2 linked regions of the Saccharomyces cerevisiae S288C genome follow. The protein of the gene in region 2 interacts with the protein of the main gene of each other region in a biochemical or structural test. Each region holds a gene or a part of one and is shown on either strand. Other genes may lie near its edges. The genes, in order: LSP1 and PKH2.

Evidence for each region.
Region 1: the proteins of PKH2 (region 2) and LSP1 form a complex in vitro, tested with the Saccharomyces cerevisiae proteins (2 studies listed by BioGRID, with this or other methods).

Annotation. Positions count from the first base shown.
Region 1 is NC_001148.4:549,831-553,540, forward strand, and holds LSP1 (lipid-binding protein LSP1), read right to left. Parts: upstream 1,828-3,710; coding exon 802-1,827; downstream 1-801. Other genes in the region: AEP3 (Aep3p), read left to right, coding at 1-476; ULA1 (Ula1p), read left to right, coding at 2,190-3,578. UniProt on the Saccharomyces cerevisiae protein: Together with PIL1, main component of eisosomes, structures at the cell periphery underneath the plasma membrane that mark the site of endocytosis.
Region 2 is NC_001147.6:127,572-133,301, reverse strand, and holds PKH2 (serine/threonine protein kinase PKH2), read right to left. Parts: upstream 4,066-5,730; coding exon 820-4,065; downstream 1-819. Other genes in the region: SDD3 (Sdd3p), read left to right, coding at 1-577; IZH4 (Izh4p), read left to right, coding at 5,382-5,730. UniProt on the Saccharomyces cerevisiae protein: Serine/threonine-protein kinase which is part sphingolipid-mediated signaling pathway that is required for the internalization step of endocytosis by regulating eisosome assembly and organization, and modulating the organization of the plasma membrane.

The sequences.
Region 1 (3,710 bases), on a different chromosome or scaffold from region 2:
ACACCAAGAATTTTGGGGCAGTCCTACAGTATATCAAAGACTTAAAGGTTAGTGAAGGATTTGGATTGCGGACAAGTTATTGGAGAACCAAAGCAGACTCAATTTTCAAATTTGGTAGTCCTAATACGCTATCAGAAAAGTCAATTGAAAAAGCAAGAAAATTGTTGGGCAACCTGATTGCTTCCGAGGGTGAGTTCTCTTGGAAAATTTGGAAAGAAAGTGATTCTTCACAAAAAAAAATACTACGTTTTTTGGGTTGTATCCCCACTACTTTACGCTGCACCAATACAGCACAAGATCATCAGAAGCCCACAAACCTACCCTCAAACATTTCCCAGAAAAAAAGAGAATATCGAAATCGGGTTAAAGCAATAGCCACAAAGGCTGCTTTGGAAAAAAGAATGGCGTATATCAAAGACAATGATGTAGCTTTCAAAAAAGAGCTAGTAAAGAGGAGAATAGTTGGGGAGGTTTGATGAGGGAGGCATAAGTGCCCTGGCATTTGGACAGGAATTTTATTAATATAGGCATTTTTATTGTACATATATACTTCATAGATCATATTCATTTAATTAGACTTCGAAAAGTTGAATCTCTTACGGCAAAGGAGAACAAGAGAAAGGTTAATTATTAGGTCTTATAAAATTTGTTCAATTAATTATAAAGGTGATTACAATACCGGAATATTGGCCGAACAATACTTGAACCAAATTCAGATGAAATTAATAATAGGTAGACACGAGCTGGTGAAAAACAAGCACAATATAGAAAGGTTCGAATATATTAATTATTAGAAAAAACTCAGATGTTTTCAGAACCGGAGGTATGACCGTTTTGACTAACATGATGATCGGCCTCATGGGCTTCATCATCTACAGGAACTTCAGTAGTCCATTCAACTTCCTCTTCTTCGACTACTTGACCGGGGATATCTCCATTTTGGATTTCAGGTTCTTCTTCTTCTTCACCATCTTCGTCTTCATAGACGTCATCAACGGTCTGATGAAATGAAAGAGTTGGTTTGACTGCAGCCATGTCTAGGGTCCAAGATTCCAAGGCCGATTCAGCATCCATAATAATTTGGCGAGAAGCTTCATAGCCATCGTACGCTGGTCTAGCTTCACCTGGAGTGACAGGAGAGTCATCTAGCAGCTCCAATAAGGCCTTTCCGTATCCAGCAATCAGGGCAAATTTTTCAGAAAGCTCTCTTAATGAATCAAACATATAACTATAAGCAGCCTTTAATTTTTCACGTGTGATATTCGATAATTGAGCCTCCGCAACCAAAGATTCAGCTTCGGCACGAACTAGTTCTTGCTCTAAAACTGGGATTTTTGTTGATTGAGGATCTTTATATTTCAAATGGGCAATTTCATCTGTGATCTTTTCCTTACGATCTCTCGAAGGTTGAACAGAGGCTTCAATGTTCCTAATTGATTTTAATGTGACTCTGTATTGATCATATTTATCGATGAACTGGTCCTGTAGTTCACCCAACTCATATATTAAGACGCCTAATTTGTCGGTTACGTCGGAAACATCATCATCATTGTCAGCACCCCATAGAGACAGTTGCTTTGCAGCTTCACGGCGTTCGCTGGCAACAACTTCCATAGCTCTAAGGACACCTTTTTCAGTCTTAACCAATTGAGATAATTTACGAGCCAACTCTGGCCCAAAGTTACCAGCCGCATTTTTTCTAAAACTAGACGCAATAGAGGCCTTTCCGAAGAACTTGGACTTCGTTGAGGATGGTGGTGGTGGAGGAGCTTGTAGCTCAGCAGCCGTTGGAGCTCTTTGATTTCTTAAAGAGTAAGTTCTGTGCATTCTTGTGTTGGAGCTTTGAAAGTTTAATCTTTCGTATACCAAATAAAGAGAATTTACGGTCAAGCATTGGAATTGAGGAAAGAGGTTAACTGATTTTTTTCTTTTCTATCTCACCTGTTTATATATTGCGATTTAGCCGTTGCATCTTCCCGGTTTTTCCGTCTTTTTTTTAAAGGGCCCCTTTTTATCCCCTCTAACGCCTTTCGCAATCCCCTTTTCACTCGGCTGCAACGAGCGGGGTTGTAAGAGCTAAGCTTTCTAGCCTAGCAATGAAATAGAAGGACAAGTCAGACGATTGACGTCAAAAAAATGAGTCGCCTCTCTTTCTTTCTTAGGCCAACTAGACAGCCGTAGATGAAAATATGGAAAGATATGATAGACAGCTGAGACTATGGGGAGCATTGGGCCAAGATAGTTTGAACCGGTCCCGTGTGTGCGTGGTAGGACCTGCTACACCTTTGCTGCAGGAAGTTTTTAAGAATCTGGTGCTTGCCGGAATATCATCTCTTACTTGGCTCAAAGTAGAGTGTGCAGTTCAATCGGGTTCTCTGTTTTTAGCAGAGCTTAAAAAAGATCTTGAGCCATTGGCTTCTAAACAGCTAGAATATGAGGAAAATGACCTTAGAAAGACGTTACAGCAACCTCAGTATGATTGGACCCGCTTCTCGGTGGTGATCTTGACTTGTATTGGTGAGCAAACTGCGATGCTCGATTTAAATGAGATTAGGCGGCAGAGAGGAACAAAGTTTCCGCCTGTTCTAAACACTTTCGTCTCTGGATTTTATGGATATATATATCTGGTACTCTCAGAAACACATTTTGTTTTGCAAGCACACCCAGATAGTAAGAAGTATGATTTACGGTTACAGAACCCTTGGCCTGAACTAATAAATTACGTAGATACATTTGACCTAAGTAAAATGGATACAGCCACGTTTTCTGGTATTCCATATACTGTTTTGCTCATGAAGTGTATTGCAAAACTTGAAAGGGATGGTAATAATGGGAGGATAACGATTGATCAGATGAAGAAAGTTTTAGACCAAATTTGCCTTCCTTTAGGGAATGATGTTATCTACGAACCCAATTATGTGGAAGCTAAACGCTATGCTTACTTGGCCTGCTCTCAAAATGATTGTTGTAAAGAACTGGAAGATCTGCTCCGAAATTTGGAAATATCAGATTATGGGAACGATTGGCATGATACTTATAACTACGAGATTCTCACACTATTATTGACTTTGAAAAATATTGCTAAAGAGAATGGGGAGCTCAGCTTTCAACCTTTAACGGGCACTCTCCCAGATATGGAGTCAACAACGGAAAATTATATCAGACTCAAGAAACTGTATGAAGTAAAAGCAAAGCTTGACAAGTCTCGTGTGGAGGAAAGTTTGGCTCGCAGTAAAAAAATAGTTTCACAGGATGTCTTGGAGACATTTTGTTCTCATTACGGGGAGGTCAGGAAAATATTGCCGCCAAAAAGTGACTTGTTAGGTATTTTTAGCACCTCGAATGCCCTTTTAGATGCATTAGTTATGGTCCAATTCTGGGAGCAACCGGCAGTAACTGCAGAGGATAAAGATGAGTTTATTGGTTTACGAGTCGACGATAACTATTCCGTAATGGCCTTTTTTGGAGGTGCAGTGGTTCAAGAGGCTATAAAGCTTATCACACACCATTACGTTCCTATTGATAACCTATTTTTATATAATGGCATTAATAATTCATCCGCAACATATAAAATATAAAATTTTTTCGTCAGCTCTCCGAGTTCATAGAATGCTTATTTTATTGTACTTCCCTGGTTTGCGTTGATGCAAATAAAGACTAAATGTAAACTTTTATGATGCATATGATATCGAATGTTTACAACAACGAGA
Region 2 (5,730 bases):
TGTCTCATTGGCTTCCGAATATCTAGAATGTGTTGAAGGTCCATTTTGGAAGGGAATCCGTGGTGCCGGATTGGCCTATGGTGCCAGCATGTTAAAATTATGTGAGATAAATTCTTGGGGATTCAATATTTACCGCGGCGCTGATATTATTAAATGTTATGAAGTTGGAAAACAGATTGTTCAAGATTATGCATCAGGTGCCTTGGAATTTGATGAGCAGTTAATCCAAGGTGCCATCAGTAGTATTATTAACAGGCTGGCTACTATCGAATGCGGATACTTTGAAACAGCCCTGTCCAAATATGTTGATGAATTCTGTTTGCAAAGGGGGAACAACTTCAATGAATTGTATTTGGAAAGGTTGCAGAATGTTACCAAAACAGATCTGAAAAATGCCATGCAGAAATATTTTGTCAACATGTTTGATTCCAATAAAAGCGTTGCCTTTGTGAGCTGTCATCCAGCTAAATTGGAATCAGTTCAAGAATTCTTTGAAACTCAAGGTTTCACTGTCGAAATAGAAGAGCTAGAAGATGACGATGACGAAATTGATAGTGAAGAAGACGAAAATGCGTGAGTACATGACCTCCATTTCAGCTTCACTTTCAACACAGAAACAGTGCGTATTATCTGCATTCAATAAATAGCAAAAGGAGCATTGTCTCATTCTTTTCGAATTCTGGGATTCTGCCTTACGGCGCTCTTTCATTTGATTGATCGAGAATTATTATTATATTTATATGAGTACTTGAAATTCCTCATATATTTATTTTTAGAGTATTTAAGTAGCTTGATGAAAACATTAGATAAAATTACTAATTACGACCTCTTCGATTTTGCAGATGAGTTTTTGAAATTTGTTCCTGTGTTTAGACCTAATCCCACGGTAACTTGTCTTTTTGGCAATCCGTTAACTAATTTACTGGTTAACGGTACTGGAGCAGCGTGTTTTTTTGAATTTTGTTCCTTGGCATTGATAAAGGTTTCAAAAATTCTGCTTGATCTGTTGCTCTTAGCGCTATTAATCGATTCAGAAAACGAATTGTGCTTTGAAATTGATGGAGATTGGCTATGCGTCCTGGGTTTTGGCGAAGGAGACTTGGAAGTTGGAAGATCTTTAGGTATGGCTCTTCCGGATGATGATGTTCTTCTTTCAATTACCTTTTGGTTTCTTTGCAACAGTTCTTTCTCTATTTTATTTGTATTCGAATTAAGAATTTTTTTGAGAACAGTAAACAATTTGCTCGTGGTTTTTTTATCAGTGCTCAAAAGAAATGACTTGTAAGGTGTCTGAATCACAACTATATGATTAGTTCCCATTTCCAAGGGAATGATTAGTTCTTTTATTTTGGTACCCTGTTGACGCAAATTTATGTCATATTCTAGTTCATACTTTAAATTTGTAACTGGATTTGGCTGCCTCCTCTTGGCAAATACTAGAAACCTTCCAAATGATGTCATTACAATGGTTCGTTTATAGTACTTGGTTTTTTCATCAGAGGAAGAGAGCGTTTCAGCTGCTGAGGTAGGGTGAAATAATTTTTTAATCTTGCCAGAAAAAACAGAGCTTCCTTTATTGTTAGATTCGGATTTATCATCGTCTTTCATTGGTGAGCTGTTTTGATTGCATTTGTACCCTTCTCCGCTTCTGTTAGTAAGCAACTCCGATAAGTCACCTCCTTCAATTCGATAATCATCTTCCAAGAGCTGCAAATCGATAATATTTTTCGAATAGTACGTATCTTCTGTTTTGGAATAAGCAGTCATAGTTGGATCATTTCGAAAACCTGTAACCTCTCCCCCACTCCTAGCTACTTGGGATAAAAAAGTATGTCTAGGCTTACCAAACAGTTGAGGATCTAACAATGAACCATTTAGTTTAAGCATTTTCTTCTCTAAGATATCGTAATTTGTGGTAACAAAATCCAGTTTTTCCGTCCTTAGTACATGTTCGTTGATGTTTTTCAGGTAAAAGGACCATTGAATATCTTGCTTGTTCATCAAGGGAGAATCTGTGCTATTTTTAACATTTTGCTTACTAATACAAGGCTTAGGTGCGGCAATTGCGGTATCAGAATAATCCTGCTGTTTTGTCGTATAGGGAGGTGTCATTTGATATGTATCATATGGTGTCATAGGGGGCGACATTGGAGGTGTGTATGGAGGCATTGGGACTTTTGACGATAAAACTGATGCTGACAAAGGTGGAGATTTGGCAAATGGTTTACTTTCTGTAGAAGAAGTACGCTTATAAGTTCCTGGTCTTGATGTTGTCGCAGGAGAGCTTGACCTGCTACTTTTCGAACTAGAAGTTGGATAGCTTTGCATGGTTTTCTTGGTTAAAGCAGCAGAAGCTGCTAGGGCAGCAGAAGCTGCACCACTTGGTGTTCTCTTGCCTGGTTGATTTTTCCTATTGTTTATACCCTTTCTTGCATTTTCAAGTATCTGCGCTGTTCTTTCATCAGTGGGTCTCTTCTTTATTGATATTTCACTTTCAGTAGAAGCGTGAGTATTGTTATTGTATAGGGTTGAATGAGTAGTTTCCTCAACAGAGGGACTTGAAGCTGACCTTTGAGTCACTAGATGCGATTTGCCAAGTGTGTTGACTGATTTCTTCACCAGTTTTCTATCGCTTCCGCTTGGCATTGCCTGCATGGATTTGGCGTTGATTTTATATGGTTTGATCTCTGGAGGCGTTTTTGACCAAACAGAGCCGTCTTTAAAATTCAAATCTTTGAAAAAATGATGTTCCTTAATTTGGCTTATCGTCAATCTTCGGTCTAAGTTTTTTACTAAGATTTTCTTAACCAAATCTCTGATAATAAGTGGGAAACCTGGTGTAAAGGCGTACTGAACTTTCATTACCTTTTGGAAAGTCAAGTATTCATTGGTAGCTTTGAATGGTGGTTTTCCGGCAATCATCTGGAAAAGTATACATCCGAAGGCCCAAATATCGCAACGATAGTCTGTAAAACTGTCATTTAAAAGTTCTGGAGATACGTATTCTGCAGTTCCAACGAAAGATTTCGACCTTGTTGATAAATCGTATTCTGGTTTCGAAACGCTATTATTTGTAGGATTCAGTAACTTCGCAGTACCAAAATCAGTCAGTTTGATCTTCATTTCTCCATCTAAAAGAATATTTTCTGGTTTTATATCTCTATGAATAATACCGTTGGAATGTAAGTAGTCTATGGCATCTATTATTTGCGCAGCATAATATCGTGCGCAGGTTTCGTCTAATGAACCGTATTTTTTCATTAAAGAAAGAAAGTCCCCATTGGGGGCATACTCTAAGAGAAAGTATAGGCTTGATTCATCCTGAAAAGTGGAAAATAATCGCACAACACTAGGAGAATTATTGAGCTTTTGAAGGGCGGTTTTTTCTATGCTGACGTATTTGACTTTCTTCTGGCGTATTAAATATTCTTTGTTTAGTACTTTTGCGGCGTACCTCTTTTTGGTATCAATCGACGTCGCTAACATTACAGTAGAATACGCGCCATCACCTATTACACTACCAAATTTAAAGTCCTTGATTCCCTTTTTGATTATATTTTTTTGGGCTTTGGATGACTCTTTAGCTATTGGTTTTTGAGATGAAGAGTCATGTTCAATCTTTACTTTGTTTCGATTTTTTTCCATGTGGGGACTTCCCGCTATATTATCCAAAGTTTTTTGGTCATTAATATCGTTATTATCGTAATCGTTGTCATATCTGCCGTCGTTGGTACTAGCGACAGTTTTTCCGTTTTCATCATTAATCATTACTTCTTTAATAGTGTCATCATCAAGATTTTTTCTCTGCTGATTATGGTACATTTCAATGAAATTATCCGTATTCGTCAAGGCCTTTTGAATCATAGGCTTAGCGGTTCTTTTTTCCAAAAGTAAATCGCCAACGTTTCTATTCGAAGTGCTTCTTTGTGGAGTGGCTTTTGCGTCATAATGGGGGTCTAAATGCGAGAATTTCTCCTTTTTCGTTAGAAGATTAATGTTTAGCTTCTGCTCATCACTTGGCAATAACGGCCTAGGGCTCATGGAATTATCCTTATCAAAATACATTTGGTTGAAATGAAAAAAAAAAAAGGAGAGATTTAATTTCTTTTGCTTTTTAAAAACTAGTTAGTGGCTTCTCGGTTCATCAAGATGTTACTTTTGTTTTCCCTTTTCGAACTATTTTATGTAGTTTCTTGTTCTTAAATACCCCTAAGTACCTTTGTACACCAATATCAGACTTCAAAGGCGGTAACTGGAGTAAAAATATTAACAGTTTCGTTGTCAAAACTATTCTCTGCCTCAGAAATGTGAATATATAATTTCTGTGTTGCGGAAGCTTTGAAGATGAATGCCAATAGCGCCTTAAAGAAAACTAAAAGGATCGGGAAATGTTCGCTTCCATTTGGGGTTATTATTGCTAAACGTCAAAAGTTATTCTAGTTTATTTCGTCGAATATGATTTCTTTTTGCACGTGACTTTTCTCCGATTATCCTGGGCGGCTATTTCTCCGCTGTTTAACTAGGGACCAATTATTCCATCAACAATGTGTCGAGTCGATCGTTAACCATCTGTCATGTTTCATACCTTATTCTAGGCATATATGGGCCCACCATATATTTTTGAGCCTTAGACTTTTCGTATTTGGGGTACATCAGCTTCCATTGCTACAGAACTATTTGAGTCTCAACCATTAGCTATAGAGCTAGTCGGAAATGGCGGGACCGAAACAACTTTTGATAGTACAGGGAACTCCAGCGTATGTTTCTCTAGGTGACAAGAAATAAAACTGGAGACAGGCGATTGACAGAAGGATCAGAAGCAATAGTCTTACTACTTATAGACAGAGAAAAATGATTATTCCATATGTTACCCTGATATTCTACGAGAAAATGGGCCTTCGTCAATAGCTATTTAATTTAAGCATATGTACGGGCAGTACCAGCTGTTATAGTTTACATAAAATAGACATATTCACGTGTATGCAAGGGCACATAAAAGCAAAGGCTGACATTGAAACATAGCAAGCCAAGAGATAGAAAAGGAGGATACGGGGTGAACAGCCGGTCTATTCTTATATATACTTCAAAGAAGCGATAGTTCTGTCCGTATAAAAACTCGGACAATTCGGACAGCACTCCGCGAGAAAAGGGCTCGTTGGGCAGCTCAACATTATTCAACGCAAGCCTGTTGAGCTCAATTGGTTTTAATTGTAAATACTCAATGGTGTCAACAGCTAAATGATTTACACTCATATATATGGTCCGGATATATGGACGCAGAAGTAAAATAAAAATGAAAAAAAGTAGAAAAGGAAATTAATTTCTTAAAGTTCTTGTCAGCGCATATAATATTGGTATAAAGGTACATATATATTGACAGTATGGTTTCATTGACTACAATAGAGCAAAGCCCAGTCAAATGCGAGACAACCACTGAGAAAGAGAGCAATGATACTAGGGGGACAGATTCGAACGAGAATGCAGAGACAAAAGAAACAAAGAAGGGTTTTCCATTCCATGACTTGGCAAAATTGCAGAAACAGTACAAAAATAAATCCAGTAGGAACGAGTCACTAGTAGCACTAATATATCTCTTGGGTTCGATGCTGTCATTTTGTCTCCTAATATTTTTCACGGACTTTTATTTGATACCTTTGTTCCCCACCACCACTACAATGACAGACTACATTGTATTCAATTTTTATTTATTGAACGTTTTTGTATTTTGTA